Xenopus tropicalis: one gene and its partner. The protein of the gene in region 2 binds, or shares a complex with, the protein of the main gene of each other region. Links are inferred from orthologs where the notes say so. Each region holds a gene or a part of one and is shown on either strand. Other genes may lie near its edges.

What was found.
Region 1: prpf38a (region 2) and zmat2 share a complex: the UniProt entries of both Homo sapiens proteins name them as parts of the spliceosome B complex. The link is inferred for Xenopus tropicalis from reciprocal best matches to the Homo sapiens genes PRPF38A and ZMAT2.

Annotation. Positions count from the first base shown.
Region 1 is NC_030679.2:26,864,717-26,869,663, reverse strand, and holds the start of zmat2 (zinc finger matrin-type protein 2), read right to left. Parts: upstream 3,000-4,947; 5' UTR 2,987-2,999; coding exon 2,969-2,986; intron 1-2,968. UniProt on the Homo sapiens protein: Involved in pre-mRNA splicing as a component of the spliceosome.
Region 2 is NC_030680.2:96,684,187-96,688,764, reverse strand, and holds the end of prpf38a (pre-mRNA-splicing factor 38A), read right to left. Parts: intron 3,962-4,578; coding exon 3,935-3,961; intron 3,100-3,934; coding exon 2,999-3,099; intron 2,915-2,998; coding exon 2,866-2,914; intron 1,234-2,865; coding exon 1,191-1,233; 3' UTR 1,032-1,190; downstream 1-1,031. UniProt on the Homo sapiens protein: Involved in pre-mRNA splicing as a component of the spliceosome.

The DNA of each region.
Region 1 (4,947 bases), on a different chromosome or scaffold from region 2:
AGAAACAATAGGATTTCTACCTCCTTCTGCCGATTCAGCTCTGAAGGGAGAATTTTGGTCAGGCGCCTTCTATGGCGCCCGATCAAAATTTTCTAACTTGGCCGATCGGCGAGCCGACCGATTTCAGCAGCTTCCTGCGATATCGGTCGGCTCGCTGACATGCCATACACGCACCGATTATCGTACGAAACGAGGTTTCGTACGATAATATCGGTGCGTGTATGGCCACCTTTACACAGATGAGGCATAGCTTTTTACATTTCAAAGTAACTAGTAAGGAACCAAAAGATTTCAATCTGACTGCCTAGACAAAACGTCCAGTGATTACACAGACCACATGTTTTAGTTATCATGGCAGAAATAACCAATTGTGTAATGGAATCAGATGTATAGATATGAAAATAAAGCCTATTGGGAATGGGCAATAATTCATTTCTATGACAGCCTAAAGTGCGAAACTGTGAAAAAAAAAGAAAATTGAGGATATCCCCTTTCATTGCTCTGCAGAAGATGAAGATGACAATGGAAATCAGATTCCTAACACAAACAACAAAAGACTGGGTTTTAAGGGAATATTATACTGACTTTAACTAATTATTGCAGATAGGCTTTATCTGCCAAGTCACTCCTACTTTCCACTAAACATAACGCTATATAAATTAGAATCCCATATTAAATCATTCATGGTCTTCCATGCTTGGGTATTAATGTAAAACTTCTGCACCCTTTTGCAAACAGCTCAGTCAACAATACTACAGAAGAGGGAACACAAGCATGAAAAATGTACTTGGGGTGCCAAGTAAGGGCTATGATTGGATATCTGGTAACCCCTATGTGGACTAGCAGCCTACAAGAGGTTCTGTTTGGCACTACACCAGGTTTGTATGCAACCAAAACTTGCCTCCAATTTGGGAATTCCCACTTTAAAGCCACTGGGGGCACCAACCAAGGGGCTGCTTACAAGCCAGTGGTTAGGGATCACTGCTGTAGAAGCACAATCAGCGCCGGATTCCAAATCCTGGCGCCCCGAGGCCGTCCCTACGAACCTCTCCCCCTTGGTGCAGCCGGAAGCACGCATGTGCGGACTTTTCAACTCCCATACGGAGCAGTGGGGAGAAGTCCCCATTACTCCGTATGGGAGCAAAATGTTACATTTTCGTTGCAGCAGGGCGGCATGCAGCCCCTAAATTTGTGCCGCCCTAGGCCCGGCCCTTTGTGGCCTCGCCACAAATCCGGGCCTGAGCACAATCTAAGTCCACTAAGTTAGAATCTCTGTCTGGACACTACTTGCAAGAATTCTGTATGATCACACCATGCCTGAGTGTGTTTCTTTAGACACATCGAAAACAACCAGGCATGTTAACCGGCTCCTGATAAAAAAGGACCCTAGTATGCTGTGCGAATGTGATAAGGAACTTAAGTCCAGGCACTGATGAGAATAATGTATAATGTCTGTAAAGCTCTTTTGAATATGTTGGCACTATATCAATAGAGAAGAAAACAATATGTGATGGTAAATCACATCACTGGGTGGGCGCCCCCTTCCAGAGATTAAAATAGCTTACCTGAGACCCTGACCCAGTACTACTCTCTAAAAAATCAGCCGTCTTTCTTTTACACCCTCTTTACAGCCGTGCAACAGCTTTTCACTCTACTACACATGTGCGCACAAGCCCAGGGCTGAATCAAAGACCCAAGAAATGGAAAGCAATTTGGACTAGCATCCCTTATGCCATTTTCAGCAAACAGGAGCACTGGCCAGGGTCTAAAGTAAGAAATTATAAACACTGGGGGTATCATTTGGCACCCCCAAAGTGATCATACCTTTTCTTCTCCTTTAGGGCTCTGGCACATGGGGAGATTAGTCGCCCGTGACAAAACTCCCTGTTCGCGGGTGACTAATCTCCCCAAGTTGCCGCCATTTGCCATCCCACCGGCGACGATGTAAGTCGCCGGTGGGATGGCACACGCAGCGGCGCGATTTCAGGAAATCGCCGAAAAAGCCTCGCGAGGCAACTTCGGCGATTTCCCGAAATCGCGTCACCGCGTTTGCCATCCCACCGGCGACTTACATCGTCGCCAGTGGGATGGCAACTGGCGGTAACTCGGGGAGATTATTCGCCCGCGAACAGGGAGTTTTGTCGCGGGCGACTAATCTCCCCGTGTGCCAGAGCCCTTAAAGGGAAGGTAAAACAGTCTTCACTGCTAGTAGGGGTTATAACAGAAGCATAGTCGAAGACAAAGCATTTTCCTCTTAAAACCAGATTATACGAGAAAAAAAGATGAACCAAATCAGTCTTTTTTGCCAGGAATTGTATTCAGCCAAACCCAAGCCCTTAAGAATCCTGTGATTTTAGACCACATGACAATGAAAGGCAGGTGGTTTTATTTTTTCATACTTCATTTTTAGTTTTTATTTTTCGTTTTTTAGTTTATAGTTTTTCCCTAATTTGCACATGAAAATTAGGGTCTGGATTCAGTGTGTGATTCAGAGGAGTCCTTTTGTGGAGTTTTCAGTATTCATCCAAAATCAAAAATGTGAATTCCCTCAGAAATCAAATAGCCATGGAGGGATCTCCCCTGAGACTCACCCACACTTACATTTACACACACCAGACCCAAAACGTACCCCACCCAACAGGCAGCCTAGAAATCCCTGGATTTGGTGCTGCGAGGTGTAGTTCAGCCTAAGTTCCTTATTACACAAGGGAACCAACTGGGAGTGCTTTAATGCCCGGGTGGTAATTAATGATAGCCCAGCCTTCATCTTCCTACGGCTCTCTTGTTATTGTTCGTGTTGCTCTATAGACACAACATGCTCTCTTCCGCCCTAAGGATGTTGGAAGCTGTTTTTTTGGGAAAAGCTAGAAAATTCTAAACTAAAGAGGCACTACCAGCCTCCACTATCCGTCTGAATTCAACCCCACAGAGAACAAACAGCGGCTCTTTACCAAGCCCTCATACTCACCCCACTTCCCGACGCCATCTTGCCCGGCCTAGACCTCTTGTCGCGCTAAATGACGTCAAGCGGAAGAACCTTGTAACTAGCCGCCTTAGTTACACCTTCTACCAATCAGATGATAGAGCCATCCTTCTGTCATCGGCTTCTTGCGCCATCTTTATTTTGGGCACATTCCCTGAAATACACTAGAGAACGTGAAACTACAGATCATTGCCGGTTCTTCACGCTAGTGGTAAATTGTTATTTTTGTATGTAATGGCAATTAAGACAGAGTGACCATTGAGTAGATAGAGTGGTAACAGACAGCCCTCCTTTAGAATCATAGAGTTGAAAAGGAGAGCAGACACCATTGAATGGATGGTGAAGGTGACATGTGCATTTAAACATGTAGGGATCATGTTGTATGTACTGTCAGGTACCTGTAAATTAGTATGTACAGTGGGCATCTAGCAATAGGGCGTGATCTCTGTAGAGCCAGAGAGAACAGGCTTTTCTATAGGAGTTTTTACATTCCAAAGGTGAAACTTATTAGGGCTCATTTACGAGGGAAGTGCAAAGCGCTAAAATGGACATAAAACTGAGCAACTTATTGGTAAATTCTGATCTTAATAGGAAGTGCCCTAAGTAGATATGTTTTGTTACTTTTTAAGTGTTGCTAAGTCTGTTTAACATATAAGGTGCTCTCCTTAATAACCAAATACCTAGGTTTTTCCCCTAGGAACATAGATTTGCCTGGTTCTCCTGCTGTCACCGAGCCGCAGAATTGGGACATTTATGTTATATATTTATAGCTGAAAGCCTTGGTTATTGCCAGTGGCCAAGCCGGCTAGGGGGACCAGATCACCTGAATATTCAGGGCAGTACTGATTGAAAATAAACTGCTATCAGTTCAGCCCTGCTTGCTGGGATTTTTAGAAATGAGCAGATGGTGGGGGGGAGAAGGGCCTGGACTAGGGGTAAGCGTTAAAATAGGTTTGTGCCTAGTGTACGGTGACCAGATCACTTAAAACATTTAGGGACGAGTTTACAAAATCCAACTGCTACAAGGGCTGTAGTGATTGCAATTTAATGTAAACACAATCAGTACAGCCCTGCAACATGTATTTATAAGATGCGTGCCTGAATTTTAAAGTGATCTGATAACCCTAGCTTAGCACCCCCACTGTTGCACCCTAGGTTAGGGTAGGGTGACCAGATCATTTGAAAATTTAGGGACACATCTAAAAAAAAATATCCAGTGAACAGGGCTGAACTGAAAGCAGTTTATTTTAAATACAATCAATGCTGCCCTGCAACATGTATTTATTAGAGATGTGCCTGAATATTCAAGTGATCTGATAACCCTATCCTAGCGCCCCCCCCCTGTTGCACCCTAGGGTAGGGTGACCAGATCACTTGAAAATTGTGGGACACATCTAAAAAAAAAACCAGTGAGGGCTGAACTGAGCAGTTTATTTTAAATGCAATCAGTACTGCCCTGCAACATGTATTTATTAGACATGTCCCTGAATTTTCAACTGATCTGGTCGCCCTACCCTAGGCACGTGCATCTTCTGCCTACCCCTAATTCTGGCCCTAATATTGCCACTGCCTATACTTGTTTGCCTGGTATTAACCTTTGCCTGTACACTGATTATAATATTTGCCACCTGCCCTAAACTCCTTGGCCTTAGTATGTATTTTATCTTCTGCTGCCTGCTCTGATACTTGCTTGACTTCTGCATCTTTTTTCCCCTACACAGCTTTGTTTGTCACAAAGTTAAGTTGCATGGGGACTGGATAAGCTAGAGGGTAGAGTTTGAACTTACCCTCCAACCTATCCAACCCCAGGCTGTGTTGGGAAAAAAGATGCAGGTACTTGAGCTCTAACCCCCCTGCCTGATTGTGCTGCTCATTGACAGCAGGACTCCCTTTAAGGCCCCAAACCCTCAGGGCCCGGGGCGACTGCCCCCCCTCTTCTCCCCAAAGCAGCCTGAACGCAGCAA
Region 2 (4,578 bases):
AGCAGGCGTGTTTTAAAAGGACTAACAAAAAAATGAATTGGATAAAAGTGAGAAACACTGGTGTTGATATTTTGTTATTATAATTGCCAGCATATAAAACAGCTTAAGGGCTCTGGTACACTGGGAGATTAGTCGCCCGCGGCAAAACTCCCTGCTCGCGGGCGACTAATCTCCCCGAGTTGCCTTCCCACCGGCGAACATGTAAGTCGCCGGCAGGATGGCAGACGCGGCGGGGCGATTTTGGGAAATCGCCGAAAATCGCGCCGCCGCGTCTGCCATCCTGCCGGCGACTTACATGTTCGCCGGTGGGAAGGCAACTCGGGGAGATTAGTCGCCCGCGAGCAGGGAGTTTTGCCGCGGGCGACTAATCTCCCCGTGTACCAGAGCCCTAAAGGAAAATAATTACTTGTAGGGGGTGCCATTATGAAATACTAATCTAAAAAGCCCAAGGCTAGCACGTCTTTGTTAAAACTTGCACTGACCCAGAGTACTTTCTCCACAGTGCTCAACTGCCATCTTCTTGCTTGTTTCCAGGCTTTCACTGTGTTGACCAAAGCTAGCCACATGCATCACATGTTTTATAAAAAGGGTCCATTCAGAGTGGAGCAGGCTACAGATGGTGCATAATGTACCTCCCAGTGATTCTTATTCTAATGTCAGACGAGGAGTCTGGCATATATTTACGGCAAGCTTAAAATCCCTTTCCGAAAATAGCGCCATCCGCCTCCTACCTGTGCCTGCATCTGAATGAATGGAATACGCTCAGGAGCAGGCACATGAAGCCGATATCTGCCAAAAAAACGCGAGACTTCGTATCTTCGGCGGATATAGGCTACACGTGCCTGAACCCGAGCGTATTCCATTCATTCGGGTGCAGGCACAGGTAGAAGCGTATGGCGCTATTTTCAGCAAGCATCTGGGCATTTGCCTTAAGTCTTTCCAGCAATTACTTGAAAGTGGTGGTATGTTGTGATAGGCTAAGTGGTACACGAAAATCATAATATATTGATATAAAAGCCTACAACATTAAATAGACTAACAATGAGCAATTTATTAAAAAAAAAAAATAAAAGCAATCAAAAGACCAATCATTTAATAGCATTCCAGAATTGTTCATGGTTCCAAAAGCTACAAATCCTTGAATTATATACAAAAAAGTTCTTGACTGTAAGAAGTACATGATTTTTTTGTTACTCATTCCCTCTTCTGCTCTTCTTATGACTTTTCTTTGACCTAAAAAGAAAAATAACTTTATGCATTACATTTGTACTTCAAAAAATATTTATACAGGTATAAGACCAGTTATCCAGAATGCTCGGGACCAAGGGTATTCCGGATAAGAGGTCTTTCCGGAATTTGGATCTCCATACCTTAAGTCTACTTAAAAATCACAAAAAAATTAATTAAGCCCAATAGGGTTGTTTTGCATCAACAACAACAACAAACATTTGTAAATAATAAGGATTATTTATATCTTAGATTGGATTAATTACAAGGTACTGTTTTGTTACTACAGAGAAAAATTCTGAATTATTTGATTAAAATGGAGTCTATGGGAGATAGGGCTTTCCGTAATTCAGAGCTTTCTGGATAAAGGGTTTCAGGATAAGGGATCCCATACCTGTACAGACATTCTTCTGGTATTCTGTATATCACAATCACTTGAAAATAACCTGATTATTTTACCAGATCCCTTTAAAAACATATTTTATTTGGAATGTAATAGTTTAAAGCCCACAAGACCAGTGTCTGACTAATAGCAGCCCAGCTTAAAACAAAGATATCAAACTTAATCTATGTGAATGTTTGTTATATTTAGGATTTAACCTGGATGGCTTATAGTTGCTCAAGGAAGATATTCGTCTTATGGGTTTTCTCAGAAGACATCAGTTATTTTAGAATGTTTATATACATTGTGACATGCTATCTGCCTGTACACGTAATTTTTTGGGGGGAATTAGCAATGGTAAGCAGGGTAGCAGAGGATCAGAAGCATAGAGACAGGGACTCCATTTCATGAGGCAAAAAAAAAAAAATACAGGTCAAAGTTCATCAGCACCTTCCAGGGTAACTCTCAGACTCTGGAACCTTGTCCCGGGCTTCTCACAATCCACAGTGACTCTAATACACAAGAACACTCAGGCTACTCACCCAGCCCTGCTGTCTCTCCCCTCCTGGGATACCAGCTCGCCAGCCTCTGACACATTTTGGCTTCTCATTAGGCCTTGTTGTTTTGTCACGCATACACATGGTCACGGCTCTCTCTACTCCTTGCAGTGGTAGGCAGCACCCCCAGCCCCTCTGGGAGTTCCTTGCACAGACAAGCAACCTTTGTGCCATGTGCCCTGCTCTGAGAGACCTTTTCTCTGAGTGACCCTTCCCTTGGTCACAAATGCCCTCTCTGCTCCTTGCAGTGGCAGGAATCACCCCCAGCCCCTCTGGGAGTTTCTCACAGGCAGGCAAGCCTTGCTGCCCTGTGCCCTGCTCTGAGAGACCTTTCACAGGCAACCAACGCCAACACAGACAGGAAACCTTCCTGCTCTCAGAGTGAAGCCCTTTCTGTGAGTCAACCTTTCAACCTATGCTGTGTAATCCCAATGTTCTTTTATTTGCTGCTCCCCTGCAGCCTAATGAGGCAGCTCCCAACTGAAAAGACTTGAGTACAGAATGGAGGACCTATCCTACTCACCCTCCCCATTTACATCTCATTTATCCAGCTTTTCCTAACCCACTAACAAGAACACAGCACTACTTGGCTGCAAAACCAGGCATTTTTCCTGGTACTAACTATCTTAAATTTTACACCAAAATAGACCAAACAGTGTTCTTGTTCCTTGCATCTCTCACAGCATGTATGGAGCTTACCTCTCAGGTGACTTGGAGTGACTTCTGTGCCTGTGACTTCGATGATGTCCTATTTGGAGAAAAAAAAAAATTGGAAAATAAGCGTATTTTTTCCATCATATTCCTTAAACATTCAGTTTCTGAGGAATCATACCTGGAGATTTGGATTTGGATCGGTGTCGTCTCTCTCTAGACCTACTCCGATGACGCCTTGGGCTTTTGCTCCTATGTCTTTCCCGACGAGGTGGAGAAGGACTATGAAAGCAAACAAAAAGGTGGTGAACTAACAAACACAAAAAAAAAAAAACCCTGCACTTCTTACCCAAAATGGATACTATGTGGCACCACCTAGTACTTGAGAAGAGACTGAGACCAAGTAGTACTATGTAGAGACTCATGAAAGTAGTTACATCTCACAATGATTCTATTTTAATCAGCAACTTGTTTACCAATAGCTGTTTAGTAATCTAGCAATCCAGAGATCAGAACTCTCTGCTGCCACCAGTTAAGTAAATATTTAGGGGCATATTTATGAAAACTGAATCCCGAATGGGAAAAATTCGGATTGGAAACAAAAATTTCTGAAGATCGCAAATATCACAAAAATGCTTACGAAAAAAATCTTATTAGTCACGATAATATCATATTGGCGATCCGAAAGTCACGAAATTTTCGGACCGAACGATTGGACCGCTCCCGGCAGCTAATCTGCCCGTGCATGGTCACTACCAACGGGCCTGCCTGACCGATATCTGGCCTGAAACCGGGCAGATCTCGATCGTGCAGGTTAGAAAACCAAGTTGGATCGGGGACCACATCGGTTTGTTGATGCGGTCCCCAGACCGACTTTTCCTATGCCCATCCTGGATTCTCCCCATGTTGCCCAACCATATGTGGCGATATCAGGAGAAGATCCACCAAGACATCGCCAAGCGAGCGGATCTGCCCGTGTATTGGGACCTTAAGCCACCTTCCAGTGGATTAAACACCCCCTGAAATGCTGAATTCATTACACAAGCCAGTCTATTTTTCTATTAAAAAATCTAAAACAGGGTAAATAAAGAGACTATTAAATGTGTCACAAACTTACCTTCTCCTTTTAGGAGAGCGACTGCGTCTGAAATAAGAAAAAACAAAAATATAGGCTCAGGTCAGTTCAAGTCTAAAACTTATAAACACCTGAAACAGTTTTCTATACATTATTTGGATAACCATTCCCAGAACTAAATAACATTATGAGGTAGATGCTTCAATATTACAAATTATATTTAGCCAGGGATCAATAACCAGCAATATTACACTCAACATGGAAGCAGATAAGAAGCCAGAAATATGGGGGGCGCTAGTGAGCCGCGATCTAAGATGGCCGCATCTTGATTGCGCTCTTACCGTGGAGGAGATTAATCCCCAAGCAATCACCGCGCAGATGACTTTTCGGGTATAATAACGGCACACATAAGAACCAGATACCTTAGACGACCTCTGGATGGCACATAAAAGACGGAAAAGGGAGAAAAAAGGGTCTAACGCCTCCCCGCTCCGAACTACACGGAGCGTTGCGTCATACCTGGCTAGGCCACAAGTGGTAGAACCCTCACCAATGGCCTCCCAAGCAGACTCATGGCTAGAAGCGGACTCGCAGCCACTTCTTTCCACCTCAGAGTCACAAGCTCCCGTAGAGGAGTCTGTGTTACTGGACAAATTTAAAACAATGTTGCAGCAAGAGTTAGCCTC